Linked DNA regions of Ovis aries. The protein of the gene in region 4 purifies or fractionates together with the protein of the main gene of each other region. This does not show direct contact. Links are inferred from orthologs where the notes say so. Each region holds a gene or a part of one and is shown on either strand. Other genes may lie near its edges. The genes, in order: PRMT5, MAP3K5, DNAJB6, STUB1, PKM, DNAJC13 and PSMA3.

Evidence for each region.
Region 1: the proteins of STUB1 (region 4) and PRMT5 purify together in Homo sapiens (affinity purification with western blotting; 3 studies listed by BioGRID and IntAct, with this or other methods). This does not show direct contact. The link is inferred for Ovis aries from reciprocal best matches to the Homo sapiens genes STUB1 and PRMT5.
Region 2: the proteins of STUB1 (region 4) and MAP3K5 purify together in Homo sapiens (affinity purification with western blotting; 3 studies listed by BioGRID). This does not show direct contact. The link is inferred for Ovis aries from reciprocal best matches to the Homo sapiens genes STUB1 and MAP3K5.
Region 3: the proteins of STUB1 (region 4) and DNAJB6 purify together in Homo sapiens (affinity purification with mass spectrometry; 4 studies listed by BioGRID and IntAct, with this or other methods). This does not show direct contact. The link is inferred for Ovis aries from reciprocal best matches to the Homo sapiens genes STUB1 and DNAJB6.
Region 5: the proteins of STUB1 (region 4) and PKM purify together in Homo sapiens (affinity purification with western blotting; 3 studies listed by BioGRID, with this or other methods). This does not show direct contact. The link is inferred for Ovis aries from reciprocal best matches to the Homo sapiens genes STUB1 and PKM.
Region 6: the proteins of STUB1 (region 4) and DNAJC13 purify together in Homo sapiens (affinity purification with mass spectrometry; 3 studies listed by BioGRID and IntAct, with this or other methods). This does not show direct contact. The link is inferred for Ovis aries from reciprocal best matches to the Homo sapiens genes STUB1 and DNAJC13.
Region 7: the proteins of STUB1 (region 4) and PSMA3 purify together in Homo sapiens (affinity purification with western blotting; 3 studies listed by BioGRID, with this or other methods). This does not show direct contact. The link is inferred for Ovis aries from reciprocal best matches to the Homo sapiens genes STUB1 and PSMA3.

Annotation. Positions count from the first base shown.
Region 1 is NC_056060.1:21,732,746-21,736,927, reverse strand, and holds the start of PRMT5 (protein arginine N-methyltransferase 5), read right to left. Parts: upstream 2,802-4,182; 5' UTR 2,788-2,801; coding exon 2,678-2,787; exon of another isoform or gene 2,651-2,677; coding exon of another isoform or gene 2,592-2,650; intron 2,026-2,591; coding exon 1,907-2,025; intron 1,609-1,906; coding exon 1,523-1,608; intron 1,368-1,522; coding exon 1,233-1,367; intron 881-1,232; coding exon 768-880; intron 436-767; coding exon 386-435; intron 178-385; coding exon 14-177; intron 1-13. UniProt on the Homo sapiens protein: Arginine methyltransferase that can both catalyze the formation of omega-N monomethylarginine (MMA) and symmetrical dimethylarginine (sDMA), with a preference for the formation of MMA.
Region 2 is NC_056061.1:62,061,364-62,065,506, forward strand, and holds the start of MAP3K5 (mitogen-activated protein kinase kinase kinase 5), read right to left. Parts: upstream 2,961-4,143; 5' UTR 2,715-2,960; coding exon 2,291-2,714; exon of another isoform or gene 1-2,290. UniProt on the Homo sapiens protein: Serine/threonine kinase which acts as an essential component of the MAP kinase signal transduction pathway. Plays an important role in the cascades of cellular responses evoked by changes in the environment.
Region 3 is NC_056057.1:120,184,973-120,189,311, reverse strand, and holds the start of DNAJB6 (dnaJ homolog subfamily B member 6), read right to left. Parts: upstream 2,870-4,339; 5' UTR 2,770-2,869; exon of another isoform or gene 1-2,769. UniProt on the Homo sapiens protein: Has a stimulatory effect on the ATPase activity of HSP70 in a dose-dependent and time-dependent manner and hence acts as a co-chaperone of HSP70. Plays an indispensable role in the organization of KRT8/KRT18 filaments.
Region 4 is NC_056077.1:1,117,889-1,122,156, forward strand, and holds STUB1 (E3 ubiquitin-protein ligase CHIP), read left to right. Parts: upstream 1-1,384; coding exon 1,385-1,543; exon of another isoform or gene 1,544-1,549; intron 1,550-2,034; coding exon 2,035-2,233; intron 2,234-2,319; coding exon 2,320-2,485; intron 2,486-2,526; exon of another isoform or gene 2,527-2,672; coding exon 2,673-2,760; exon of another isoform or gene 2,761-2,905; coding exon 2,906-2,962; exon of another isoform or gene 2,963-3,049; coding exon 3,050-3,166; exon of another isoform or gene 3,167-3,242; coding exon 3,243-3,368; 3' UTR 3,369-3,629; downstream 3,630-4,268. Other genes in the region: uncharacterized protein LOC101103616, read right to left, coding at 1-37, 138-290, 463-622, 755-848, 1,256-1,386; JMJD8 (jmjC domain-containing protein 8), read right to left, coding at 3,676-3,756, 3,846-3,980, 4,064-4,131, 4,219-4,268. UniProt on the Homo sapiens protein: E3 ubiquitin-protein ligase which targets misfolded chaperone substrates towards proteasomal degradation.
Region 5 is NC_056060.1:19,006,339-19,010,598, forward strand, and holds the start of PKM (pyruvate kinase PKM), read right to left. Parts: upstream 2,886-4,260; 5' UTR 2,811-2,885; intron 1-2,810. UniProt on the Homo sapiens protein: Catalyzes the final rate-limiting step of glycolysis by mediating the transfer of a phosphoryl group from phosphoenolpyruvate (PEP) to ADP, generating ATP.
Region 6 is NC_056054.1:257,886,310-257,889,990, forward strand, and holds part of DNAJC13 (dnaJ homolog subfamily C member 13), read right to left. Parts: intron 888-3,681; coding exon 687-887; intron 1-686.
Region 7 is NC_056060.1:68,603,095-68,607,573, forward strand, and holds the start of PSMA3 (proteasome subunit alpha type-3), read left to right. Parts: upstream 1-1,650; 5' UTR 1,651-1,712; coding exon 1,713-1,733; intron 1,734-4,348; coding exon 4,349-4,431; intron 4,432-4,479. UniProt on the Homo sapiens protein: Component of the 20S core proteasome complex involved in the proteolytic degradation of most intracellular proteins. This complex plays numerous essential roles within the cell by associating with different regulatory particles.

The DNA.
Region 1 (4,182 bases), on a different chromosome or scaffold from region 4:
TTCCACTACACACCTTGAGAAGTCGGAAGATCAGCCTCTGGTGCATCTTAGAAAGAACAGGGAATCCCTTCTTATTGGTCAGGAAAATGCTGGTGGGGAGAATGGCTGCTTTGATGGGCTCCCCAAGCCAACGATCAATGACATGGTTAGATGGGAGGTCAGCACCAATTTCAAGAGCTACAAAAGGGAAAACAAAGACCTGTCAATCATACAGGCCAGAATCTTTGCATGCTCTTTTGTGCAAGATCTGTCTCCTCCTTAAGAGCAAGGCAGACTAAAGCATGGAGAAAGTATGCCCCAGCAGCCAAGTATACATGAGACTCCTGATTTTTAGTCACAGGATTTCAGAGAAGGATAACCTATCCCAGGATCTTTGTGGACTCACCCACTGCAATCCTCTTGCTGTAATCACACAAGGTCCGGAAGTTGTGCCACCTGTGCAGAGTTAAAACACAGAAGTTAGTTGCTCAGTCATGTCCAACTCTTGTGACTCCATGGACTGCAGCCCTCCAGGCTCCTCTGTCCATGGAATTTTCCAGGCAAGAATACTAGAGTGGGTTGCCAGTTCCTTCTCCAGAGGGTCTTCCTGACCTAGGGATTGAACCCAGGTCTCCAGCATTGCAGGCGGACCATTTACTGTCTGAGCCACCAGGGAAGCTCCATCAAATACATACGGCCCACTAATCACCACACCTCAGGGAGACCTTCCTACAGGTTCCACTCTGTACTTCCCTCCACCCCAGGTACAGTGGCAAAAGGAAACATACCACATCCATGTCTTCTCCTCTCCACTGTACTCCTCTGTGTGAGAAGTTGGTGCGTTCTCAATTATATCATCTCTCAGGTCCTCTGGTGCCACCAATGGCACCCGCATCCAGAACTGCACATGAACAATAAATAGGTTCCACACCCTATTTAGAACTGTTTTGAACCCATTGGGTCCAGAAAGCTTCCTTCAATTAAAAAGATCTTGATCCAGATTTCAAGCTAATCCCCTTATATCCTATTCCCAATTTGTGATTATATGTTGTCTTTTATCTCTAGAAGTTGTGGGAAATAACTGATATTCTATACGTTTTATAATACTTTGCTCACCACTCTTAGTGTGGGTAGGCAGTACTGACATTTCAGTTCTCCCAAATGCACCCTTCACTGAATGGCTAGGAACAAGAAGATACTTAGCACAGCCTGACTATCATAATATGCAGCAGGGAAGGAAGCCCTTGCCATACCATGGAGGAGTGGTGGCCAGTGTGGATGTGATTGGTCAAAACTCTCGCCAAGTTTGTGTTATCTTCCTGATTTAGGGGCAGCAGAAAAGCTGGAAGACCCAAATATGCCCCAAAATTCAGCTCCTGTAACATAGCCTGGAATAGAGATTAAAAGGATAAAGTTAAGAGCTAGCAACTCAAATAGCTTTAATTGCATTATATCAAATTTACTAAGTTACAGAGTGGGGAAAAAGTGCTCTCCCCACCCAACTTGTTTACTGATATTTAGTCAGTGAAGAGGTCAGTCTTACCGCCTCAGAGTTCCTGCGTATCTTCTCCACTTTTGAGTCTGGACGAATCCATGGAGAAAGCTTTCCCACAATTAGTGTATTCCAGTCTGCACTCCCCCACCCAAGAAAGACAAAGACTAAATAAGGTTCAGCACTTTACTCATTCAATTTCTAGTTCTTAACAGGGAATAGAGTTACAGATGAGACAAAGACTTTTTCTATCACAGATACAGGAGAGCCTGACAGAATAGGGAACTAAGGCTTTTAGTAGGTAGGTAAGGAGTTATCTATATCCGTGGGGCGAACCAATATATCCAAGTGAAGAAAGGAAGAGGAGGAAGGCACTGATAAAGCATAAGTTGTTACTGCCTCTAATAATTAAGGGGCATGTGGGATGCTCCCTACCCCTTCCTGACAGCAGTAGGTCTGATCGTGTCTGGGGGCCCGGCCGACTCTTAGCAGGTTCCTGAGTGAATTCCCTCTTGAAACGCGGGTGGAACACAGGCATGCAGAGGAAATCAAACCTACAACCGCGACAGACCCAGAATCGTCATGTAAAGACAGCAGCAGTGCCCAGAGATCCAAGTAATTGGACTGGCTCTCTTGATTCTGCACAACCCTTTCAGCTGCCACCAGCGACCCGACTAGACTGCTGAATTCAGCCAACCTTGGGGCATATCACTTCCGCTGCACTGTGCCTCAATTTCTCGCCAGGACACAGCCATGGAAAAGATGAGTTAAGAGAAAAGATGAATATCCACACCACGTGGACTTTCTACTCTGCTGTCACTGGTTTTCCGAGACTGTCACATCCAGATCGGCAGCAGTACTGCCTAAGTATCCCCCCTCATGGTTTAACTCTCCTCTCCCTAACCTCCTAACTATTTCTCCCAATCTCACACGGGGCCCTGGAGGTCTCTACGCCCCCTTTTTGAATTTACTTGATAACTCCTCCGACTTTGGGGTTCAGTGACCACACGCCCCCAATAAGTTTCCCGCCCTCCTCTCAAGCTCCAGGGCCCGAGGCTTCTCCCCCCGAAGGACTAAATGGTTTCTCCCGCCCTGGTCTCATCCACTTCGACCCCCTCACCCCTGCCTCTCGGGGATGACTGGTCTGTCCCTCTCGGTCCCCGAGTTCGGACCCCGCATTCAGCTCGCGGAGGTCCAGGCCCTCACCCCTGCTTGGCCACAGCCCCCAGTGTGTCAGCTATTTCGGGGACGCAATTCAGGTCCCTCCCGCTGGACACGCGGCTTCCACCGGCACCACCGACCGCCATCGCCGCCATCTTTTCCCTCGCGCAATCCACGCCGAGATTCCCTGAAGCTAGCAGCCAATCACAAAGCCGGAAAAAAGCCCCCAGAAGGCGGGACGTTTCACCTTAACAACCAGAGCGTCTCCCACGGCTCTAGAGCTGGAGGAGGAAGGGTGGGGAGTGGCTCTTCTCGCCAATCCGCGGGCTTCACAGTGACGTACGGCGAGGCTTCGGAACAGTCACCAATCTCAGGGTCTGATTCTCGACGAACTTAATCTCCCATAATGCTTCGTGTACTCGTAGAACTCCGTGCAGAGACTACACGTCCCATGAAGCCCTGCAGTATAAGCTTGAAGTGTCATCATTGGGGCCAGCGAAGTCGTCTCGGGGCCAGTGGCGCAATGGATAACGCGTCTGACTACGGATCAGAAGATTCCAGGTTCGACTCCTGGCTGGCTCGGGGAGACGCGTGTGTTTTTGTTGCATCCCATGCAATACTGTCATAAGCAGTATTTTGAAAGTATCCCGTTCTTCCCTTTCTAAATTTCCTTATGATCTCCTCTTACCCTCATTTTTAGCTCATAATTTTATTGCGTTCTGCAGCCATTTTATGTCAGCGTTTTCCATTGCCTAATTCAAAGATGGTTCTTGTGTCTCTATTTAGGTCCTTCAAAATCCTGAGAAAATTGAGGTAATGACTAAATTGGGCTTTGTATGGGCCTTAGTATATTTTTTAATAGATTGTGGCAATTTAGCCACCAACTCCTTTCTATTCTATATCTCAAACAAACAAAAAGTAAATAAACATCTAAACACACACTGAAGATAGGAAGGAAAAGAAAAAAAAACTCATGGTGAGGAATTACAGTGGAGAGGAGTTATGAACAGCCTGGCGGAGACCTGAGAGAATCTCAACATTTTCCTTTCTAGAGAATTTCTACATTTTCTTTGTGAACACCTGCTACAGGGATGGAAAAGAACGAAGCAAAGAAAGATATAGGGAGGAGAAAGAGAACCTGAAGACCCAGAGGTGTTGAGGGCCTGGCAGCGAGGATGGATAGAGAACACAATACGGAAGGCCCGAGGCAGGAGGTCACAGAACTTAGTGACCAACGGACAGGAAGCCTGATAAGGGAAGTCTGCGGCTGAAGCCCAAGATTTTGGCCTCTTTGAGTGCTACAGGAAATGAGAAGCTCTTTTAGGGAGAATCAGGGTTTGGGTTTGGAAATGCTGAATTGGACGTCTAGGGGGCGCTGTGTAATAGAGAGTTGGAGGAATAGTGATCAGAGCCAGACAAGATTTGGAAATCGCCAGGAGAGGTAGTGACTTTAGCCACGAGACTGGATGAGATGACGTAGCCCGTGAGGGATCAGAGTTCTGAGAAATACGGAATGGGTGTGGATAGGATAAGCAATAAGGAGCCCTGGG
Region 2 (4,143 bases), on a different chromosome or scaffold from region 4:
TAAATCTGACAACATCCATTAACCAAATTTTGTTGGAATACAGCCATGATGATTTATTTAGGTCCTCTTTATGGCTCCGCTTGAGTAACACCTGCAGAGCCGAGGAGGTGTGAGAGACACCTCCAGCGAAATCTACAACGTTTATGCCATCTGGCCCTTTACAGAGGACAAGCAAGTGCTCTCTTAGAAATCAGAAGTCGAGTTCTACTACTGTTCACCTTGGCCTCCCTCAGTTTAGAAAACAAAACCGATACCATTTTCATTCTGCCACATCTTCAACGTTTTCTTGCTGAATGAGAGACCTGAGGGTTCATGTCACAGGCAGGGGTGAAACTGGGGCCTGCCTAGTTGAGCTCACCAGTGGGATGGGACAGAGCTGGCCCGGAAACACTGGTCTCCCTAAAATGTGCCCTCCTCCCCACTATTCCACAAAGCACACAATGGCTCACAGGGTCCCTGCCAGCTCTCTACCATGAGTTTGACGTTTCCCTCTCTTAATTCTGAGAATAAATCAGTCCAGCTAAATGGACGTAGCAAGGGTGAAGCCGGACCTTTTAGAGTCAGGCACTCAAAGTGGGACCCTCCATTGACCAGTTATTATCCATGACCTTGAACCAGTGATGGAGCCCTTGGTTTTCTCATCTAAGAAGATAGCTAAGTACTACTTCCCTCATAGGCTTGTTTGGAGTATTAAATGAGATACATTTCAAATGTCTGGTACCTTCTAATCTTTCTCTCTCCCTTTCCCAGAGATAGTATTTGGAGAATAAACATTACATGAACCTTGTTAGGAAAGTCTTTCAAATTAGCTTAAAGATTATTTTATAAAAAAAATACCCAATCTATCAAAACAATAAAAATAGGTTTAGCATTTCATTGGGTGTTTTCCTCATATATCTTTCAGTTCTTTGAAGCTTTTTCCAAATTATAATTCAAAAATAAAAATGCTGTAATTTTTAGAAATGTTATATTTATGTAATTTTTACAGCAAGTCACACAAAGAACCGAGCTAAACTATGTTCTACCCATGTCCAGTTATGAAGACTAAGATGGTAAAATACACCAGAACCAGAAAATCCTAGTTTATTTAATCTGGCTTCCTTAACATGAAGTTCTTGTTCTTAAAATATTCAGTTTTGGCTGAATTCCAAGACTGACATAAGCCTTCTTCAGGTGTTCTGAAAAGACTGAAGAGAATCAGAACTGGAAACAAGATTGGAATATAAAACCTTCTATGTGATCACAATGCAAGAAACTTATTGTCTGAAAGCACCATTAAATCAAATTTTATGCCCACACTTATTAAAAAAAATGTATATATTCTCAACATTGGTTGTACAGGGTGCTAAAGGTTAATTTCAGTAACATGCTTTTATCTCTAACATTTGCTAGCAGATAGCAAATTGCTTCAGTCACTTGAATCGCAGTGACACTTTCTGAAATCTGTAATAGGCTGAAAAGATTTTTTTTCGTGAATTACTCTAGCAGTCACTTTAATGGGCACACTTTAATGGCCAACCTAACTTAGTTACTAAAACTGCATATCAGCGTTTTACATAATGTTAAATTATCTACTTGCCAGCCCATCGGGGTATATGGAGTCATAAAAAACATACTCTGCTCTTTTTCACCAAAATTCCAACAGAGATATCTCGCAAGTTTAGTGTCAAGTTACAAAAGTTGCTTTTCAAAGTAATTACTTGACAATTCAAATTGGTAAGAGATGGGAAATCAAGCCACTAAACTTCAGGGAAAGGGAGTTGGGAAGATCGTGACATAACATGCAAATTCACACAGATCCACTCTGCGTGCAGCTGGCTGCGTGGCAGAAGTCAGAATTTTTGTACTCTCAAAAGTACACGGAAAAAAATGAGGACATCTTCTAAAACAGGCACAGGTATATATAGAAGGAAAATGTGGGCCAAATCTAACAGAAGAGAAACCAAAACACTGAATAGGGCAGGGCTGACTGGGACAAGTAACTCGCACTGCAGGCGAACAGAAGTTCTTCAAGAGGACCACACGCACCCCTGGATTCCCAGAGCGGGCCGGCGGCCGGGGGGTCAGATTCTCTGCCACAAGCTGCGAGCGAGCCGAGCAGTCACGCAGCGCCGCTCACTGCCCCTAAGGTGGGGCAAGAAGTAAATAAGTAAGATGCTCGATTGCTGCCCAGAAACTGATCGATTTTTTCTACGGGAGCAGGGGGGTGGGGGTGGGAAACAACAGCTTTCCCCCTGCGGTGGCCCCCGACCGCGGAGGCTGGGGCCCTGCATTGTAAAGTCGCACGCACCTGCATTGTAAAATCGGTCCAGCACCGCAGTTTCTCCAAAGTCCAGTTTCCCAAAATGCAGGGTCTCCAGGGCGGCGCCCACCGTCTCGCACGCCTCCCGCAGGCACTGCAGGGCCTCGCTCTCGGCCACCACCAGCTGCCCCTGGCTCGCCTCGTTGATGACATAGGCCACCGTGGTCCGTCGGCCGCCTCCGCCCCCAGAGTTGCCCCGGCACCGGGTGGCGCTGCTCCCAGCGGTGGCACTGGGACACCCGGCGCCGGGAGCGGCGGCACTTTCCACGTTCCAGAAGCTGCCCGGTGGCGGCGGTGGCAGCTGGGTCTCCTCGCCCTCGGCCGCCGTCGCCGCTCCTCCCCTCCGGTAGCTGCCGCCCTCGGCGAAGGGCGGCACGGAGAAAGTGATGCCCTCGCCCGCCTCCGCGCTCATCTCTCCCGGCCGGACTGCCGCGGCGGCGTCTCCCGCCCAGCCGCACCGTCTGGCCAGCCACAGTTCGGGGCTGCTCCGTGCGCGCCTTGCTAAGCAGCTGCCATCCCGCGTTGCGCCTTCCGCGCCGCGCCGCCGCCTCCTCTCCGGCGCCCTCTCCCCCGAAGGGACGCCGCTGCCCGGCGGCGGCTCGCCCCTCCTCGGCGCCTCCGTGGCCGCGCCGCTCGCCCGCTGCAGGGTGTAGAGTACAAGGGGTGGGGAGCCGGGCTGAGCGGGAAGGGACAGGGCTTCCTTTTCTTGGCCGGCGGACAAGTCGGCTCGCGAACCTGCTAGGCGGTGCGGCTCAAGGGCGCCGCTCTCCGGGTGCGGTGCGCCCTGGCCACCCGGGAACGCGGTCCCGGCTCCTTCCGTGCCGGGCACCCTGGGAGGGGCCGGGGAGGGCGCCCTCTGGGTGGGGAGCTACCTGGCCAGCACCTCGCGGGCGGGCAGACTCCCTGGACCGCGTCCCGGAACAGCGGCAGCAGCCGCCGAAGGGATCCGCCTCCTTCCTCGGCGGCAGCTCCCCTTCATCGGCTCTGTTTCCTCCTCCTGCCCCGGCCCCGTTCTCTTCCGATTGCCGCGGCCGCTTCGTCCCCGGCACCAGCCTGGTAGCTCGAGTCTCCCCGCTCCTTGAAGCCGCTCGCCCGGTCCGCCACCGGCTTTTTGCCGCCCACTCGTCGCGGCACCGAAAGTCTGGGCCCGCCCCGGGGGAGGGCGCTGCTGGGAAGCTCGAGTCCGGACGAAACCGACCGCGTCGCGGCTCCCGGACCACGGCCCAGCCCGGAGCACCGCGCGAGGCCAAGGTTCTCCTCCGTCACCCACTGGGCTCCCCACCCAAGACAACCTGGAGTAGGCAAAAGCCCGGAGAGCAGGCGACTATAGGATGGCACAAAAAAAGTCTCTCTTGCGAATACTCGGGTCTTAGCCAGCGCCAGGAGGCACGCGCCACGTTCCCCGTAACCACGGCGCCCTCCTCCGGCCGGTGCCGGCCTAGCACCGCCGTGCGGTCGGGTCCCATGTGCGCGCCGGGAGCAAGAGGGTAGCGTGGGGAGGCCCGCGTGGCGCTAGGCCCGAGGATTTTAACTACGGTCCTGCAGGCGGCCTCAACTGGAGAGTGGTGTATTGGTGACAGTGGCTCTGCGGGAGTGGCAGGCTGAATTTATCGGGTCTGCCCCTGGTACTTTACGTTTTCAAGTTTTCAATAGCTCTGCTGTCGTGAATCGGAGAAGGCGATGGCACCCCACTCCAGTACTCTTGCCTGGAAAATCCCATGGGCGGAGGAGCCTGGTAGGCTGCAGTCCATGGGGTCGCGAAGAGTCGGACACGACTGAGCGACCTCGCTTTTACTTTTCACTTTCATGCATTGGAGAAGGCAATGGCAACCCACCCCAGT
Region 3 (4,339 bases), on a different chromosome or scaffold from region 4:
CAGAGGGGTGCCCGAGGCAGCCTCGGGGGCCTGGGAACAGGAAAGAACTCCTGGAAGTGAGGCCTCCTCCAGCGGACCGCCACTTGCTCTGCAAAGGAGTGAGAGCAGCTTGGCGCCCTCTCTTAGAGCTCAGACCCACTGCCCGGGCACAGCGCACCCAGCTGAGAAGAGGAGGAAGCGGGAACCTGCCGGTCCCGGAGATTCACCGCCTGTCACGGCACTTCCTACACTCCGAGAAGGACAAGCAGAGAGAAGGAGCGCGGTTCTGTAGCTGAAGCCACATGGGTCCTCGCTCACCCCTTGAAAGCTTCTCTAGTGGACGGCCTCTCCTCTCCAGCAGCATCCCTGCAGGATGACCGTGTCCGGGTTCCCAGTAAGCTGGCATATTCCCCTCACTTCCCCCCGCTACTTTTTTACTTTATCTCTTAACATATTTGACTTAAAAAAATTATTTAGTTTTAATTGAAGGATAATTGCTTTGCAGGATTGGTTGGTTTCTGTTGAATCAGCCGTAGGTGGACCCGCGTCCCCCCATCCTGAGCCTCCCTCACACACCCTACTGTTCTGAAGCCCAGATGAAGCTGGAAAGGGCTGTCTGGGGTTGAAATGGAAACTATGGTCACAGGACAGGGCTTCCCCAGCACATAGCCACCAGCAAATGGAACCCCCCCCCCCCCCGCCCAAGATGGAGCCAGGGCAGCCCCCTGACCCCCCAGCTCTAACAGACTGTCCCTTCAACACAGACCCTGCCCCCCTACTCTGAGTTCTTAGTTTCTCAGAACTCCGGGAAAATTGAAAAAGCAGTCGAATGAACAGGTGTCTTCGCCTCCATTCGCCAACTGCTGCTGCCCCTCAGCTCAGTCTTTCTTCCTTTTCCAGTTTTTGCTGAGCCATCTGAACGCGGGTTACAGACATCCTGACATTTTGCCTCCAGCTGTCTTAGCACGTATGATCTCATAAGGAAAGCTTCCTCGTGTCGAACGTCATCACTCGTAAGAAAAGAGACGTTCGTGCAAGAACGTGATCTAACGTGCAACTGAAGGGGGCCAGAGTCACCCTGGCCTTCCCAGGCGGCGCTGGTGGTGAAGAACCCACCTGTCAATGCTGTGGGTGAAGAGTAAGAAGAATGAGAGTCAGAGGTTCGATCCCTGGGTCGGGAAGGTCCCCGGGAGGAGGGTGTGGCAGCTCACCACAGCATTCTTGCCTGGAGACTCCCCAGGACAGAGGAGCCTGGAGGGCCACAGTCCATGGGTTGCAAAGAGTCAGACATGAGCGTGCATGTACCTAGAGTCAGTTCAGCTTTTATGGGGCCCCCGCAGGGATGGAAGTTGCTTTCTTCCTGTTACTCTGTCTTATGTCAGTTTAACTGTTAGACTGGCCAGAGTCTAGAAGAGCAAGGAAAGAGTTTCCTCCCCAACAGAGTCCCCAGCTGCATCCACAGCGTCTCACTTTGTTCTGACGTCGAGGAGGAGGAAGACTCCCAGCCTGTCCGAGGGAGGCCTGGCGTGGAGTGGAGTGGACGTGGGGCAGCAGGGACGTCCCGGGGCCGGTGCCCACGCAGGGGTCACCTCGGGTCAGTTCCCCAGCCTGGACAGAAGGCCTGCTCCCTCTCGTTCCCGAGTCCCCCGGCTTCGAGGGGACCACTCTCTGCAGCTGCACCCAGCACCTGTGTCTTCTGTGCCCCGTGCCCTGGAAATCAGGCCCTTTGGAAGTAGACCCTCCCAGGCCTCTCCTCCCTGGGGACGTCCATCAGAATCACCGTAGCCCTAACCCTCCCAGTACTGGCTACCCCTCCAGCCAGCACCCACAGCCCCATGCCCAACCCCCAGTGCCTTCCAGGGTCTGAAGCACAGAGTAGGTCTCCGCAAATGTTTATGGACTAGATGGGTGAATGCGTACTGACACCTTCCTGCACCCAGAGGCTGGAGATGGTGGTCCAGGAAAACCTTGGCCCAGAGGGCTCGCTCCAGCCGGAAGGATGCTGACGGCCAGCCCGGGGCCCAAAGAGCAACCTAGGGGGCCAGGGGCAATTCTGTAGCCAGAGGGCAGGCTCCGAGCTCCCTGGGTGCAGGCTCCAGGCTCACAGTCCTGCCAGCCATGGGGGTGGGGGCGTCAGGCTCAGGGGACTGAGGCCCTCTGGGGAATACTGGCGCTGAGGGGCGGGCTGCCTTTCTGTGACCCTGCCCCCCAGCAGTTCCCTGTGCTGTGCAGGCAGAGGAGGGCCACACAGACGTGCCTCAGTGCCCGGGTCCCCGGCCCGCTCCTGTCCTGTGTCCCGTTCACCCTCTGATGGACTCGGGACATTGCCTCAGCAGCCAGCTCGGCCAGCGGTCACCCTCCGGGAAGGAGAGGCCTTACTGTGCTCCGGGGTGGGAAGGAGAGGATGCAGGCAGACCACCAGCCGCTCAGAGGTGCTTAGAGGTGAAGCTTCTCAGGCTGGGGTTGCAGGAGCCCCCAGGGCTCTGAGAGCTGGGCCCCAAAGGCCCAGCAAAGGGACCCCACCAGGGGCGCGTCTGCATGCCTGCCGACGTCTCACAGTGAGCATCAGCGGCGTTAGCCATCCACGCGGGCCTGCGTTTTCCAGAAAGAAGGCAGGCCTGGGAGCCCGCCAGCCGCCCTCACTTAGACACCGCCCGGCTCTCAGACCCACAGCCGTCACCAGGATGACCCCAGGAAACCTCACACCGCTCAACAGATGAGGGGGTCAGCTCAGGACAGCCACCCGCGAGGGCTGAAAGTAAGGCGGGCTCTCGTCTGTCTGAACTGCACCTTTTTATCCAGAGTGAAGGCGCTCACGAAGCCGGGAAGCCCGACGGCTGCGTGGTCCGCCCGCCGGAGTCCCGCTGCTCCTGGGGTCGTTTCCGTTTCCGGGGGGCGGGCGGCTCGCCGCAGGCTCCAGGCCCCTTCCTCCGGGCATCAGGAGCCGGAAGTCTCGCTCACCTGACCTGACCGGCGAGCAAGCCCGCGGCCGCGCCCAGGTCTCTGGTTGCCGGGCGCCCGCTGGCCGCGGCCCACATTCCTTCCATTCTATCTGCACCCACGTGGCTCTTGGCGCCCTTACAGCAGCCGGACGCCCCTCGTCTTTCCAGCCCCTCATCACTTGGCAAGCAGTCCCGGTATTAGCAGGATTTGCGGGTCAGAACGATAGAGGCAGACGAACCAGATCCAACTGGCCGGGGTTTCAATCCTCCCAGAGCTGCAGCCGCCTCTGGAAGGGGCTGTTGGCCAGCGTCCCCGTGGGGCACGGGCGCGCTCCAGCCACCCCGGGAGAGCCGAGGCCCTCCGCCAGCTGGTGGGCCCCCTGTCCTGCCGGGGGGCGGTTCCTGGTCCTTAGGGACCCCGGGCTCGGGGTGGAAGCCTCAGTCCCGCTGGGTCAGCAGCTGACTGTTTCCAGGGAGATCTGGTAGAAACTGCCCTGCCCTGCCTCCACTTTCCCCACTTTGTTCCCTAGAATTAAGCCTCAGGGTCTAGGTTCTTGGCCATTTAGAACTGCATGCTGATTACAACAAAGTGAAATAAGTGTAACTTCTTACGTCTGTTAAGATCAGAGAAGATTTTGGAGTGATGGGAATTAATTCTTTTTCCCCCCCAAAGTTGTTTTAATTATACTACTCCCTGGAAAAGACCCTGATGCTGGGAGAGATTGAGGGCAGGAGGAGAAGGGGACGACAGAGGGTGAGGTGGTTGGATGGCATCACCGACTCGATGGACATGGGTTTGGGTGGACTCCGGGAGTTGGTGATGGACAGGGAGGCCTGGCGTGCTGCGGTTCATGGGGTCGCAAAGACTCGGACACGACTGAGCGACTGAACTGAACTGAACTGAGAATGGAGACAGCATCCCAGTCCGGCTCTGGCCAGTGGGGCGAGGTGAAGGGTAAGGTGGCAGACTTCCAGCACTTTCTTTAAGATGCCCCAACCTCCTGGAGCAGGGCCCAGATCCCCCTGCCCCGGCCCCCGGCCTGCCCCGTCCTGGACCCCCCCTCTCCTCTGCCTCGGGCCGCGTCCTGGGCAGGCACCAGGTCTCTCCTTTCTGCCCACTCCTCCTGATGAACATAGCAGGAAGTACTCCGGAATCCCAAGAAAGTTAGGATGGGAACCTCCCTGGTGGTGCAGCGGTTAAGAGTCCATGCCTTCAATGCTGGAATGAGGGTTTGATCCGGTCAAGAAGCTGAAGGCCCACATGCTGTGCAGCTGAAAGGAAAGTTAGGACCAAGCTTAGAAACGGCAGAGGGACCCCGACCCTGCCGGTCAGCTGGCACCAGTGACAAGTGCTGGGACTTAACACAAATGTATGCAGCCTTCCTCTGCGTCTGGCACAGACCGCTAAGACCCTGGGG
Region 4 (4,268 bases):
TCCACGTGGTGTGGGGTCCACAGCCCAGATGCACTGCCTAGAGAAGGGCAGAGAGAGTCTGGGGCTCGGAGATACCGATCTTCCTACGGTCAGAGAGAGCTCTCCGTGACCACCCGGGCCGCCCGTGGTCTCCGCACCTTGGCTCAGGGCTGTTGCACGCTCCTGCACCCGGCTCAGGTAGAGCAGGTAGTGCTTGACAGTGTACTGCAGGGCGGGCAGGCCGGGCACTGCGGCCACTGCCTCCTCAGACATGAAGGCTGCCGCCTCAGGAGCTCCGGCAGCCAGTACCGCTGTGGGCAGTGAATGGACAGCACTCAGCCCCGCCTGGGCCTGGGGCTGCTGTCCCCAGCGACTCTCCTGTATCATGTATCTGGCCGTCGGACCATTTCATGGATAAGGACACTAACAGGCCAGGTTCCGCCAGCGACCCTGCCCGGGGGTGGTCCAGCTTTCCCGACTAACCCGAGGCGGTAGCCGGGCCCACGCCACGGAGGGCGCACAGAGCCATGACCGCTGCGTGCATGTCTGGCAGGAGGCGGAAGGCGGCGGCCGAACGCTGCACCACCAGCTCCGGAGAGTTGGCGGCCACGAGTTGCTGCAGGCGCGGTCGGAAGCGGCCCCTCTGTGGCCAGGTCGGGTCGGGTGTCACGGGTGGCGGCCCTCGCTGGGAGGCCCCTCAAGACTGCCACGAGGGTGAGCCCCCTGGGAAGCCCCACCCACGTGGCTGTGCCGCGCCCCAAGTGGGAAGCCTTACCGCCAGTTTCCACGCCAGCAGCCGCTGCAGCTCGTCTAGTGTCACGTGCTTCTCCGCGCGGGCCCCGATGGCCGCGGGCAGCTCCTCTCGGTACCTGGGGGAAGGCGGCGCTACGGAGTCCGGGCCACGGGGCTCGGCCCGCCCGCCCCTGCCCCCTCCGCCCTACCACCGGTCCAGCGCTTCCAGCCGCCCCTGGGGGCCCGCGCGCGCCCGCAGCACCGCCCCGCGGCACTCCAAGACGGCGGCCCAGCGGCTTGGGTCCTCACAGCTCCAGAGCCCGCCAGCCGCGGCCATCTCCCCGCGCCAGGCGAGGCCTCGGGGGCGGGGCGTCGGAGCGCGGCCGGGCGGGCGTCTGCCCGGGTGACCCAGCGCGTCGCAAACCTTGACGCCGCGTCGCGTTGCCAGAGTCCCCCTCCCTGCCGGCCCCGCCCCCACAGCGCGCCGGGGGCACGCACGGCCCCGCCCACCCGTGCGGCGGTCCGCTCCGCTGGCCCCGCCTACCTGCAGACCGGAAGTTCCGGTGGCGGAGCGCTGGACCGAGCCCGAGCGGATCGCGGGCTCGGGCTGCGGGCGCAGGGCGGGCTGGGCGCGGAGCCTGGGAGCGGAGCCCAGGCGGTGCCGTGCGGCGCCATGAAGGGCAAGGAGGAGAAGGAGGGCGGCGCACGGCTGGGCGCCGGCGGCGGCAGCCCCGAGAAGAGCCCGAGCGCACAGGAGCTCAAGGAGCAGGGCAACCGGCTCTTCGTGGGCCGCAAGTACCCGGAGGCAGCGGCCTGCTACGGCCGCGCCATCGTGAGTGCGCCCGCGCTGCGGGAGGGGCTTGGCGTCCGAGCCAGGGGAGGGGCCGAGCTGCGGCTTCTGCCGCGCGCCCTCTTCAGAACATGTCAGGCCGTGCCCGCCAGACTTTCGGAGGGAGGGGGTGGGTGCTTGGGGTCTGGGGCCAAGGCCGCGCCTTTCCCGAGCCAGTGCGGGCTGCCAGAGAACTGTGCTGGGTGGGAACCGTAGGTGTTCGAGGCCCACTGGGCTGGGGACCAGGCATCCCTGCCCCTTGAGGAGTCAAACGCGATGCTGGGGATTTCCATGAGTCCGGGAAAACTACCTTCACAAGACTCATTGGAGTCCAGAGAGTGGGCTCACGTAGGCTTCACCCTCCCTCAGAACCCAGGGGCTTGGAAGCTGAGAAAATGCTAGTGTCTTGGTTCCAACCGCGGGCCTCAAGTTGGGACGGAGTGGGCAGGCTGAGCTCACTCCCTCATGCTGGCTGGCCCGGCCTTGGTCCCCAGACCCGGAACCCCTTGGTGGCCGTGTATTACACCAACCGGGCACTGTGCTACCTGAAGATGCAGCAGCACGAGCAAGCCCTGGCCGACTGTCGGCGCGCCCTGGAGCTGGACGGGCAGTCTGTGAAGGCACACTTCTTCCTGGGGCAATGCCAGCTGGAGATGGAAAGCTATGATGAGGCTATTGCCAACCTGCAGCGAGGTGGGCTTACAGGCTAGCTGGTTCCAGGGTGCCTGGGACCAGGTGGGTGGACTGGTTGAAGTTTACCCAAATGCTCTATCCCCCAGCCTACAACCTGGCCAAGGAGCAGCGGCTCAACTTTGGGGATGACATCCCCAGTGCTCTGCGCATCGCAAAGAAGAAGCGCTGGAACAGCATCGAGGAGCGACGCATCCACCAGGAAAATGAGTTGCACTCTTACCTCACACGGCTCATTGTGGCTGAGCGTGAGAGGTGGGCTCCCCCTCTTCGAGTCACCACTCTTAGGTTAACTCTGAGGTGTGAACACAAGTGTTTATTGAAGGCCAATTCTGGCACGCAGGAGATGGAGGGAAAGGGGCCTGAATGATCCTAAGTCTGGAGTGGAGTCTGACTGCCCCTGGCCAGACCCATCTCTGAACACCTTTTGGTCAACCCCCAGGGAACTGGAAGAGTGTCAGCGGAACCACGAGGGTGACGAGGACGACAGCCACGTACGGGCCCAGCAGGCCTGCATTGAGGCCAAGCATGTGAGGGTGCCCCAGCCCGAGTGTGGGTCCTGTGTGTGCGTGCGCTGTGATGTGAGGTGCCCTGGCTCCTGCTGGGTCTGTGTCTCGGTGTCTGGGGAGGGGAGAGGGGTGTCAGGCCCACAAGTGGCTGCTTGGTTCTTTGCAGGACAAGTACTTGGCAGACATGGACGAGCTCTTCTCCCAGGTAGACGAGAAGAGAAAGGTGAGCTGCCCGTCTTCTGGGGCCGGTGGGTAGCTAGAGCAGTGTCCCTTCCCAGCCCCTGACCTGATCCAACCCTGTGTGCTGCAGAAGCGAGACATCCCTGACTACCTGTGCGGCAAGATCAGCTTTGAGCTGATGCGGGAGCCCTGCATCACGCCCAGTGGCATCACATACGACCGTAAGGACATCGAGGAGCACCTGCAGGTGAGGGTCTGTGGGCGCTGGCAGCAGGGCCCACGCGCACTGAGCAGCCCCTGACTCTGCCCTGTTGTCACTGCAGCGCGTGGGCCACTTTGACCCTGTGACTCGGAGCCCCCTGACCCAGGAACAGCTCATCCCCAACCTGGCCATGAAAGAGGTCATCGATGCCTTCATCTCTGAGAATGGCTGGGTAGAGGATTACTGAGCAGGGTGGGTGTATGGGCCACCCACCTGCCTTGCCCGGTACCCTAGTTCAGGAGGGCCTTGGGGCAGCAGCCCCTAGTTTTCTGTATATAGTTTGTGTCCCTGGATCCCTACCCTGGTGTCCCCACCCCCACCCCCATCAGTTCTGCTGGGCAACACGCCTCTCATCCTCCTTCTGGGCCGGAAAGGGGGGGTGAGGCTGGGCTGGGCTGAGGCTGCTGCCACCACCTCTGTCCCTGTAATAAAACCTGTGAGTACTGCAGGGATGTGTGCTGGTGTGCGGTGGGCTTGCCAGCCACCCCCTTTGGCTAGCCGAGGAAGGTAGAGATGAAGACGCTGGTGTCGAGGTTGAGTGTGGCATGCCACCATCGGTCCGGGAAATACAGCACCTGGCGAGGGGTTGGGGGGACATGTGGGTTGATGGGTTGGATGGGGGTCCTTGGCCTGGCTCAGCCTGGCCCGTCTGCCAGCCACTGACCTCACCAGCCTGGATAGTGCATTCCAGGGGCCGTGCAGATGGTGTCAGGGCTGGATATGTGTCCTGGAGCCAGGCCAGTGTGGTTTTGTTGGGGTGGAATTCGGGTGTCTTCTCAGGAGGGTACAGGAACCAGCGCTGGGGGTTGGCGGGGAGCAGCAAAGTTATGCTTTGTATTTTGGTCAGTGAACCCAGAGTCTCAGCCTGCACCCTGTGCTGACCTTGCGGCCATAGATCACCTCCGAGAACCCAGGTCCATGCCAGTGGAAGGGCACCCCAGAGCCAGCTCCTGTGAGGCAAGTTAGGAGCACCTGGTTACCAAGCTTAATCCTCCCCCAGCCAGCCCCCAAGTCCCTTCGTCTTGCAGGGCACCCACCTGCAATTCCAAAGCTGTAAGCAGGAGTTGTACCCAGCAGGCTGAACGGA
Region 5 (4,260 bases), on a different chromosome or scaffold from region 4:
TTGCACAAGGCTCAGGACAGGGGTGCAGACTATCACTGGGGCCTGAGGCTCTGCCACGTGGCAATTAAGCACTGTCCAGAGAGCCTGGGGGCCTCCACTATCGTCACCTAGCTGAGGTGCTCTTAACTGGGAGGAATGCATACTTCACTATTTGACTCACTGAAAGGGGAGAGGGGATTCTTAAGCCTGCAAAGACGACAGTGGTTTCCCCACTCACCCAACGAAGACAGTTCTCTTAAAAGCGGAAAAATTCAAAGGTTGAGTCATCTTCCCTACATCCTCCCCCACCCCACCCCCAACACAGATCTGGTGATGTTACATACTCCTCCCCTCAGAAAAGCTCCCCCTGCATTCCCAACAGCATCCTCAGGCAACCTGAGGGTGAATTATTTGCTAACAATGCTGTAGAGTCCCGACCTAGAGCCTCCTCTACACCCCAGGGAGTGGCCACACCCTGCAGACAGCAAACAAGGAGCTACTGTCCTTTGCCTCTTATCTTAATCTCACACCAGCTGGCTGAGCAAATCCCAGAATGCTACCTGGAGTAGGTGCCAATAGAACCTGAAGATTTTAGTTTTAGGTTTCCAAGTTTGTTTCTAATCTTATAGCCAAAAGCTATAATACCAAAGGCTGAAAGCCATCTCCCTTCTTGCCTTCCTTTGGCTGGAGGACCAAAAAGCCCCTGTTGCAAGTGGAGAGTAGCAAGGTAACATTGTTAGTTACTTTGCCAACACTGTAGCAGGATTCCTGAGCGACTGGTTTCTAGATCTCTGGTATTTACATACAGCCTGACTCCCAAAGATGAACTATGACCGTTTCGGGATGGCAGCAAGAAGAGGAGCGCTCGAGTTCAATTATAGATGAAGTCATTGGGCTCAGTGACCAAAAGAATACATCTGGAGGCATCGCACCAGAGATTAGACACTGCACCCTGTATAGACACTCAATATGTATCTATGTTTAAGTATGTATATAGCGACCCACCCTTTCAACACCCAAGATGAAAATAGTTACAATTTTCACATGGGAAACAGGTCCTGAGGCTGAATTCCCCCTATTATTCCTATCAGTATGTAATGAGTTAAACCTGATTCTGAAAGCCTGTTTTCAACTTCCCACTGCCTCTGTCCGTCATGTCTGGACCTCAGTTATCAGGCTCATTTGTATGGGGGAGGGTCAGTGTCCCGGGTTTGAAGAACATAGATAAGAAGACAAGAGATGCCAACCCATTACTGAGTCTTCAAATAATCTTCAGACTGGAAGGTGCTTTTCCGCTTCATCACACCCCGTGTGATGCCACCTGGTGAGGCCTCCTAAACCCCGACAGGAAGTGCGTACCCTCCACGTGTGGAAGCCCGCGTGTACCTTCTTCACGGCACTTATCAGTGGTAACTTTTACATTCGTTTCCTAATCGGACTGAGCTCTGTGGGCTAGGACGATTTTAGTCAATCTGGTCTGGTCTCCACAGCCCTCCCCCAAACAACTCTTTATACGAGTTTTTAATGAATGAGCGTGTGTACGTGGCACCAAGCTCTTGATATATTTCTACTCTCCTCAACCCGCGGCCTCCGCGCTCTACAATCGGGCGCATCTGTTAGGCAACGCTGTTAAGTAACGTGAAGCACAGGCAGGGAGCCAGGTGAGTGCCTCGAACTCGAGGAGGCCTCTGAGCAGCATCCAGAAGCTTGTCGGGCCGGAGATGATGCTTGGTCGGTAACGGGCCCGAGGGTCAGAGTTTCCTGAAGCCGAGGAGCGGGCGCGGCAGGGCGGGTCCGGCGCCGCTACGTGCAGCCCCGCCTCGGCGGGATGGAGCCCGGGGCACCGCCCCCACCCCCAACGCCCCCCGGAGCAAGCGGAGCGCTGCGGCCGCTCTATCGTATTCTGGGCGGCACAAAACAGGAACGCGCCACTGGGCAGCCACCCTTTCTTCCTCTGCAGCGGGTTAGACCAAGGGTTACGTAACCCTCTAACTGCGCCTCCGGCCGCCACTGCATCCATCTCCGGGCCGCCTGGGAGCCAGCCTGCCCATCCGCAGACCAATGCACTTCGGGACTGACCCCGGAACTCCAGCCCCGGGCTGGGGAACTACGATGGAGAAGGGGGGGCAGGAGATGGGAGGCCGAGGGGCGGGGACGGAGAGCAGGCGGACGTGACCAGAACAGAGGGGGAGGGGCGAGGAGGCTGGTGGCGCGAAGGAAGGTGCGCAGGAGAGGGATGCGCTGGAGCGGACGTGACCAGAGAGGCGGGGGAGGGGCGGGAGCCAGCGCGTGAATGAGGGTAGGTACTAGAAGGGGACAGCAGCTGAATGGAGGAGGAACAGGGGAGCGGAGCTTGGGGAGTTTCAAGGAGAAGTTACAAAGAAAGCATCAGAATGAGGGGGACACGGACAGGTTGAAAACAAGAAGCGAGTATTAAGGATGATGGGAAAGGGACGGGCATAGGAGCAGAGTGGAAACGGGGGAGACTGACGCATGAAAGGAAACTATCAAATTAGGAGAATAAAGGGAGGAAGAGGAGAGCGAGACCAGGTCGAAGAGGGAGGAATAGGGAGGTGAGAATGGGACCAGAATGGGGATGGGAGGTCAGGGACTGGGGCAGGAAAGGGGCTGGCTGACCCGTCTGCCTTCGGAAGAAGCGGGAGCTGGGGGCTTTGAAGGAGATCCTAGGCACAAGCAGCCTTTCTCCTCTTTTCTGATCCCAACCGGGTGAGCCCAAGATGCCCCGGACCCTGCGCCATCCTGGGTCCGCAGGCGGGCCAGCATTCCGCACTGCCCCGGGAGACGATGGCCCAGTCTCTCCCCACGCTCACCTCCGACGTGCTCCGGCTCGGGATGCGCTGCTACTGCACACAAGTCCGGAGGCTCGCGACGCGTCGCTCCAATGCGGAGATCCGCTGCCTTAGCCTCAAGGTTATCCCGACTGTGGGCCGCCGCAATCCCTCCGCCGCCCCGCCTCCCACCCAATCCTGGCTCCCGGCTCTCGGGGCCCCGCCCCTCCGCGTCCTCGCCGGGCAGTCACCTTCAGTAGGAAGTGCGGCGGAGGCGGAACGGGGGAATCAGGTTGCCCTTTGAGGGAGGACTACATTCCGTGGCGGAAGGACACGAAAAATAAAACTCGCAGCATTGAGGTTCTGCAGAGCCCAATGGGGAAGCGGCGAGACGGGAGGACCCGCCCTCGGAGCTCTGGAGACCTCCCTCCCAGACCCCCCGGCGCCCAGGCCACCTGTTGCGGCCAACTTGGAATACTGGACCAGGTCTTCTCTTGACCCTTGGCCCAGGCCACCCCAGCTGAGTGGCTCTGGCCTACCCAGATAGTGCCCAGATTTATGGGTCCCCGGGCAGCAATCCCCTGGCCCGGGTGCCCGCCCCAGCGCACGCCCCGAAGACTGAACCGAACAGTCAGGGGTGGGGTGGGGGATGTAGACTCATGGGATGGTTGGAGGTCCCGGCCGCCTTAGGAGGGGCTCCTACACTGGAACGGGGGTAGAACAGGGGAGGGCGGGGAGAACGCGGGAGGGCGGAGTGTGCTAGGAGGGGGAGCGCGAGGCCCTTTTGTTCTTAGGGTTTAGAACAAAGGACAAGTAGAGGCCATGTGAAGACTTTAGTAGGGACTGGAGTCCTGCGGTGCGAGTGCCTGAGAGTAGAAAGTGAATAGAAGGTATTAATATTAGTGCAGGACTGACCATATCAGGAAATGTCATAAAGTTAGATCTCATAATCTCTGCCAAAGTAAGAATTTCTGTTTTCAACCTTGTGTATTTTAATCAATATTGTTGGAGCTTTTCTTGTATTTTTCCTTAAGGCATTTTCTCATTTCCTAGTGATCACAGCAGTTATCTAAGAAGCAACTGTTAACTCTTGCCTTCTTTCCGCCAAATTTTGAGCAGATACAATGTTAAAAATCGTGAATACTATTAGGTTCTTTCCTTTTCCTGGAAAAAAGAGACCAATGGGTGTGACCCACTCAGGCAGACACCCTGCCTGCAGCTGAATCACAGGCCTTCATTATGCTTTCCTGTTAGCTCAGATAAGCTGACAAAAAGTAACAACATTAATTTGTTTAAGATAAAATATTTTAATCTCTTCTATAAGCTGTTTCTGGTTCCCTCAGTTGCAGAGAGGGAGTGAATGCTTCGTTACTGAGGTGGTAAGAGCTCATGAAGTTGCTGAGAAGGAAAAAAAAAAAATCATGCTTTACCAGAGGGAATCAGATTCTTCTCTATCCAGAGAAAGAGGGTGGCTTAAGTGGCCATATTGGCC
Region 6 (3,681 bases), on a different chromosome or scaffold from region 4:
TTAAGAGAAAGGACTCTGAGAGTAAGTTCAGCTGAGCCTCTCCATCTGGACACTCGAATGTTCATCTCTGAGGTGTGGGGTTTAATCAAGAAAGGCAGGATGTTCCTTATAAAAAAAAATGGTCATAATCTATAGCTCTGTTTCTACTGCCAATTAAAAAACAGGGTCTCAGCACCTTAAGAGGTTTCTGCTGTGTCCCAAAATTTACATGTAACTCAGAATTTCAAGACAAAAACATGCAATGAACTCCAAATTTGAATTTTCAAAGTCTATTCAGATTTCAGATTACAAATAGCTGGGCAAAGGAAAGAAAACTATAAAAAAAGATAGTTTAATGTAACTTTTCAAAGAAAGTTTAGAAACTTTCAAGTAACACATTAATACTAATGAAAATAAAACTGTGATCACTGTTTATTAAATATTAAGTGACATACTGTGCTAAGAATTTTACATAAAGTATCTCATTTGATCAAAAAACCTAAGACATACACATATTATTCTCCACATTTTAGAGAGCAGCAAATTGGAATTCAAGCTGAGGTCTACCTGATACCAAAGCCTGCACCCAAAATACCATACTTCCTTCCAGAGGACTCAAAGGAAATTTCAAAATTAAGTGTAAACACTCTGCTTTCCTTCAAATGGTCATGTCTCTTTTAAGATAACTTTTTAAAAACACTACTTACCAATCTACTAAATCCTCCATAAAGTATACAAAACCCTCCTTGATAATCAGAGAGATCTACAAAGCCTTCAATATTTCTATAGTCATAGGAACAGAGGACTCTGTTTGTTGCAGGATTAATCTGATCAAAGCCTCCTGGCGTTACTTCCAAAATGACAGGTTTTCTTGTATCACTCCAGTGATGCTTATAGCAGTTATATCTCTGCAGAGAAAAACAATAATACTTTTAAATTTATATTTCAGGTTACCATAAAACACCATTACATCTAATGTATCACTCATTGCAGAAAAAAAAAAAAAAAGAAAATCTGTATTATAAAATTTTAGAGCTACTACTCAAATTCTTAACGACATTTTTACTTTGGCCATCTGGAGGTTTATGTTTATTCAATTAAGAATGTTGAGGCTAACTAAAGACAGTATCATATCAGTTGAGATGCTCAATTGTGTCCAACTCTACGACCCCATGAAGAGCAGCACACCAGGCCTCTCTGTCCAACATCAACTGCCAGAGCCTACCCAAACCCATGTCCACTGAGTCAGTGATGCCATCCAACCACCCCATCCTCTGTCGTCCCCTCCTCCTCCTGGCCTCAATCCTTCCCAGCATCAGAGTCTTTATCAGGTGGCCAAAGTACTGGAGTTTCAGCTTCAACATCAGTCCTTCCAATGAACACCCAGGACTGATCTCCTTTAGGATGGACTGGTTGGCTCTCCTTGCAGTCCAAGGGACTTGGACTCTTGAGAGGCTTCTCCAACACTACAGTTCAAAAGCATCAATTCTTTGGTGCTCAGCTTTCATTATAGTCCAATTCTCACATCCGTACACGACCACTGGAAAAACCATAGCCTTAACTAAACAGACCTTTGTTGACAAAGTAATGTCTCTGCTTTTTAATATGCTGTCTAGGTTGGTCATAACTTTCCTTCCAAGGAGTAAGCGTCTTTTAATTTCATGGCTGCAATAGCCATCTGCAGTGATTTTGGAGCCGAAAAAAATAAAGTCTGACACTGTTTCCGCATCTATTTGCCATGAAGTGATGGGACTGGATGCCATGATCTTAAGTTTTCTGAATGTTGAGCTTTAAGGGAATTTTTTCTTTCCTCTTTCACTTTCATCAAGAGGTTCTTTAGTTCTTCTTCACTTTCTGCCATAAGGGTGGTGTCATCTGCATATCTGAGGTTATTGATATTTCTCTCAGCAATCTTGATTTCAGCTTGTGCTTCTTCCAGCCCAGAGTTTCTCATGATGTACTCTGCATATAAGGTAAATAAGCAGGGTGACAACATACAGCCTTGACGTACTCCTTTTCCTATTTGGAATCAGTCTATTGTTCCATGTCCAGTTCTAACTGGTGCTTCCTGACCTGCATACAGGTTTCTCAAGAGGCAGGTCAGGTGGTCTGGTAGTCCCATCTCCTTCAGAATTTTCCACAGTATTTTGTGATCCACACAGTCAAAGGCTTTGGCATAGTCAATAAAGCAGAAGTAGATGTTTTTCTGGAACTTTCTTACATTTTCAATGATCCAGTGGAAGTTGGCAACTTGATCTCTGGTTCCTCTGCCTTTTCTAAAACCAGCTGGAACATCTGGAAGTTCACGGTTCACATATTGCTGAAGCCTGTCTTGGAGAATTTTGATCATTACTGTACTAGCATGTGAGATGCGTGCAATTGTGCGGTAGCTTGAGCATTCTCTGGCATTGCCTTTCTTTGAGATTGGAATAAAAACTGATCTTTTCCAGTCCTGTGGCCACCGAGTTTTCCAAATTTGCTGGCATATTGAGTGCAGCACTTTCACAGCGTCATCTTTTAGGATCTGAAATAGCTCAACTGGAATTCCATCACCCCCACTAGCTTTGTTCGTAGTGTTGATGCTTCCTAAGGCCCACTTGACTTCACATTCCAGGATGTCTGGCTCTAGGTAAGTGAGAGTGATCACACCATTGTGATTATCTGGGTTGTGAAGATCTTTTTTGTACAGTTCTTCTGTTCATTCTTGCCTCCTCTTCTTAATATCTTCTGTTTCTGTTAGGTCCCTACCATTTCTGTCCTTTATGGAGCCCACCTTTGCAAGAAATGTTCCCTTGGTATCTCTAATTTTCTTGAAGAGATCTCTAGTCTATCCCATTCTATTTTTTTTTCCCTCTATTTCTTTGCACTGATCAGTGAGGAAGGCTTTCTTATATCTCCTTGCTATTCTTTGGAACTCTGCATTCAAATGGGTATATCTTTCCTTTTCTCCTTTGCTTTTCGCCTCTTCTTTTCACAGCTATTTGTAAGGCCTCCCTAGACAGCCATTTTGCTTTTTTGCATTTCTTTTCCATGGGGATGGTCTTGATTCCTGTCTCCTGTACAATGTCACGAACCTCTATCCATAGTTTATCAGGTACTCTGTTTGTCAGATCTAGTCCCTTAAATCTATTTCTCACTTCCACTGTATAGTCATAAGGGATTTGATTTAGGTCATACCTGAATGGTCTAGTGGTTTTCCCCACTTTCTTCAGGAGAAAGTGTATAAAGAGTTCATGATCAGATCCAGTCAGCTCCTGGTCTTTTTGCTGACTGTATAGAGCTTCTCCATCTTTGGCTGCAAAGAATATAACCAATCTGATTTCACTGTTGGCCATCTGGTGATGTCCACATGTAGAGTCTTCTCTTGGGTTGCTGGAAGAGGATGTTTGCTATGACCAGTGCATTCTCTTGGCAAAACTCTATTAGCCTTTGCCCTGCTTCATTCTGTACTCCAAAGCCAAATTTGCCTGTTACTCCAGGTGTTTCCTGACTTCCTACTTTTGCATTCCAGTCCCCTATAATGAAAAGGACATCTTTTTGGGGTGTTAGTTCTAAAAGGTCTTCTAGGTCTTCATAGAACCATTCAACTTCAGCTTCTTCAGCATTACTGGTCAGGGCATAGACTTGGATTACTGTGATATTGAATGGTTTGCTGTGGAAACGAACAGAGATCATTCTCTCGTTTTTGAGACTGCATCCAAG
Region 7 (4,479 bases), on a different chromosome or scaffold from region 4:
ATCTCATAGTATAAAGCCCAAAGGGAAGAGAAAAATTAGAAAATCACCATTTGGAAACCATCATCATAAGAATCATCAGATACTATAATTAGCGGGTAAAAGGTGGAGGAATAGCAGGATATTTACATAGTCTCCAGGTATTTCTGCATAAGATGTTTATAAATTACAAAGGGCAAAAGTGAAACTACAGTGGAGAAATCTAAAGCAAGTGATCAAAGTTAACATCATCACTAGTGGAACAAATTGACACAATGTGCCTCCTAACATAAGGTTCTAATATGAATAGAAGGTTACTTTTGTCATATTCCTGACAAAACTGCATTTATCCAAATTGAATCATGAAAAAACATCATACAAACCTAAACTGAGGAATATCTTATAAAGCAAATGTTTTTTGTCAATAGTGTTAATGCCATGAAATCTAAAGAAATATTAAGAAAGTGTTTCCAGATTAAAGGAGACTAGAGACATGACAACTGAATACAACATGTGATCTTGGATTTTCTTTGGCTGTGAAGGGCATTATTGAGGGATTTGCCAAAATCTGTAAACAAAGTCTGCAGATTAAAAAAAAAAAAAAGGAATGGTACTTTTCTATTTTCACAGTTACAGTGTGGATATTTAAAATGATGTTCTTTTGGGGGAAATACACACGGAAGTATTTAGCAGTTTAAAAAATGCTGACAGCTTTCCATTTAAAATCAGATTAAAATTCGAACTATTATGAAATCTGATTCCATATCCACCTCTCTGATTTCATTTCCTGTCACTCTCTCCCGCTTAAGGCCATACTGACCTGACAGTTCCTATAAGCCAAGCTTATACTGAGATAACAATCCCAAATTTCCATTTAAGTATCACCCATTCGGAAAGTCATTCCTTAAATAACAGGTTTAAAGTTCAAACGTCCATTGTCTCTCTCTCTTTTTTTTTTTACCAAAAGGTGCAACTATTTGCCCATTTACTCCCTGTTGCTTGTTTCTTCCCATTGAGTGTAAAGGATGAGGTGCCGTCCCTTTCATCGTTTCATCAGCAGGATGTAACTTGAGTATTTGGGACATACAGAGTTCAACAAATAATATTTAATCAAGCTTATCCTCAATTCTACTAGAGTTATACAAAGGGTACTAATCCTGTAAAATTCCGACCTAAGCCCAGAGGTGATACCCTTAGAATGCAAGAATACAACTTTCTTCCTTCTTGTTAGAATAGGTGGATGATAGGGTTGCTTCAACATATTGGGTTAGAACCAGGCCGCCAATGGTGGAGGGAGACCTCTCCCTTACCGTTTTCTCTGGCCTTTGTAAGGGTATGAGAACATCTCTCCGTTTTGCTTTAAAAAAAAAAAATAAGGAAGCGAAAGAGAAGGATAAAAGATAAATAATAATTCTAGGAAAAGGACTGGCGGAGCTTCTCAAGCAACCAGAAGACAGAACGAATCTACGAACTCAAACCGAAGACGAAACAACCAAGAGCCTACCTAACCCCGGTGAGATTGCTTTTGCACATGCGCGTTACTTGCCGGGTGCATTTCCCGCCCCCTCCTTTCCCACAATCCTCTGTTCCGTGGACCAACGCTCCAGGAACGAGCTACAGAAAAGACTATTGGTTGAAAGAATAGTCAATGAGAGAGCTTGTTACTAGTCTCTTACTGTGGTGCTGGGGGATCGCTTTAGGCCTGAAGCCATAAGCGTCCTAGTGATTTTGGCACCATGAGCTCAATCGGCACCGGGGTGAGTTCTTTGTTTCTCTGTGTGATAGGCTAAGGATTAGCGTGGAAGGGAACGCAGACAGACCGCGGTGGGTGCGCGGACTCGGGGTCCTCTGGGACTGCCTGGGGGCAGGTGGGCCGCTTCCAGTTGTGCAGTGCCGGACGGTCTAGGCCCGCGCCTGCGGTGACCGTGACTTGACGCTTCTCAGCTCAGGTGTAGCGGGCTTGGCCGCGCAGCAGTGAGATTTGGAGCCTCTTTAAAAGGTTGCTGAGTCACTTTCTTTAGCCACTTAGGGAAACCGAAAGTGGAAACTCTTGAGGCCTGAAATGGTGTGTGTGCACGCGCTGTGAAGGACTTGGGCAACAATTAAGCTCTTGAGCACCACTGAGGCAAGGAGGCTTAAGAGTCCAAAGTTTGTGACGCCGCTTTCCAAGAACCTCTCCCCGCCTCCCCACCCTTGCGGTTCCTGGGATGCTGCTGACTCCCGGGGATTCTCTGCCTTAGCTTCGAGGTTACCGATGGACCTCTCTGTATGAGTCCCTGAAACCTTCTGAGAACTGACAAGGAAAATTGTCTAAAAAGCGGAATCTGAAGAATCTTTTACATTTTTCCGTTGTCCCAGCTTTTCTCCTAGAGGAATAACAACAGTGTGAGGTCTCGGCACCGTAAGCGTTTAAATGATTAGCTACGGACTTAACCGCTTCTTTGAACAGACTGTCCAGGATTTTGGAGTTAGATTTGTTAACTTGTTCGGCCTACTAACTTTCCTTTGTTAAACGTACTGCATATATACAGTCTTCAGCTTGTTCCTTTTATGTATTTCCCCATATAGAAAACATAGTGTTTAGAAATATTTATTCATTGGTTCCACTAGAGGCATTGGGTAATGGGTTTCTCAGTTCATCTACTCCCATTGTGCATTAGATTTTGATTCTCACCATTAGGCCCAAATACTGGTTTTCCGAGTTAGATAATAGACAATTTATACTAAGGTTGTCATACTGTTTTTGGATTAGTTGATGCTCATTGACTTTGCAACTACATTAATATTACCCTGGATTAATAGTGTTCTGAAGGGTTCTACAAACATTTTAAAAATATTTGGTAATATAAATAGGTGATAAATTTTGAGTATTACGGTGGTAAAGATCTTCGTTCGGCAGACCAACAGACCAATTACCCTAGATTAATAGTGTTCTGAAAGGTTATACAAACCCTTTAAAAATGTTTGATAATATAAATAGGTGAGATGTTTTGGTATTAATGCTGGTAGAGTTAAAGATCTTCCTTTAACAGACCAACAAGCTGAGAGGCAAGAAACACCACTATTGAAGACTTAACGCTTGTCTTGTCCCAAGAACTCCAGATGGGAAGACCTGTCTTGACATTTCTCTCCACTTGATTATTTGATAGGCATTTCAAATGACACGTCCAGAGTAGATCTCTGAGTTTTCTTCTTCTGTTGCCATTTTGCATCTCCTACAATTTACATTTCAGTGAATGGTTCAATTTTAGTTGCTTAAATGAAAAAAAAAAATCTATGGTGCACTTCTGAGTTCTTTTTTACTGTATTCCTAAAGCCAATCCATTAGCAAGGTTTTTTTGACTGCACACTCAAAGGGTAACACCTTCCACGTCTTTCTCTCTTGTCTAAGACACTCCCTTTGGATTACCCTATCTCTGCTTCCACTCTTGTTTTCTCTGTAATTCATTTACCAGATGAACAGCATTTAATAAAAAATTAGAACCTCTTCCCCTCACCCCACCCAAACTCCAATGACTTTCTATTGCATTTAGAATAAAACGTAAACTTCCTGTTCCAGCCTAAAATAAAAGACTTAGCATAACTTGGCCCTTATATGCCTCTAATATAGTTTACTGTTCTGTTTACCATTTATGGTGCTCAAGATTCAGTGGCATTATTATTTCCTTTTCTTAATTTTGCTGCTCTTGTTTCTACCCTGAGTTCTTTTATGCCAGATGCCAGGACACTCCTCCATATTCTAAATGAGTAGTTACTTGTCTTTTAGGTCTGGCTCAGCTTAAATAACATAAATATAATTTCTGTAGCAATGCCTTTCCTGATCAGGTAGTCTGTGGTATTCCCTGAGACCATAAGTTCACTTTGTCTTATTTTAGAACCTTTTATCTCCAGCACCTGGATCTGTTTGAGGTCTGATTTGAAAATGAAGGACTTTAAGAATGAGTAGTCTTTGTATTTTCTCATAGTGACTGACATATAATAGATGCTTATTAAATATCTGAATGCTGAATGATGTATCCAAGCTCCTTTAGTTCATTACTGCCACAGCTATGAGAAGCTGTGGTACTAAAGAGAAGCCAGTGTTGTTTCTACACTGGTAATGGTAATTTTTTCAGAAATGAGCCATGTTCTGTGTGGGAAAAGTTCTGACTTTACCCAGGACTTGTGTTCATTGCTTGTCAATAGCAGAAATCTAGTGTGTAACTTTTCTCTTAGCTGCTGTTCCTGCTTTGACATACTTTCCCTTTCTCTTTACAGCAAAATCTTCACTGAGATTGAACATATATTTCTGATGTGTAAACCATTTAGGAAAAAATTGTTATTACTGCCAAAGGTGCATCCTTCTAAGCTTGTTATTGCCTTTTCCTTGTAGTATGATCTGTCAGCTTCTACATTCTCTCCGGATGGAAGAGTTTTTCAAGTTGAATATGCTATGAAGGCTGTGGAAAATAGTAGGTAAGAAACAATGTTTTACTTGAAATTAGTGTTTTAGCCAAATATTAA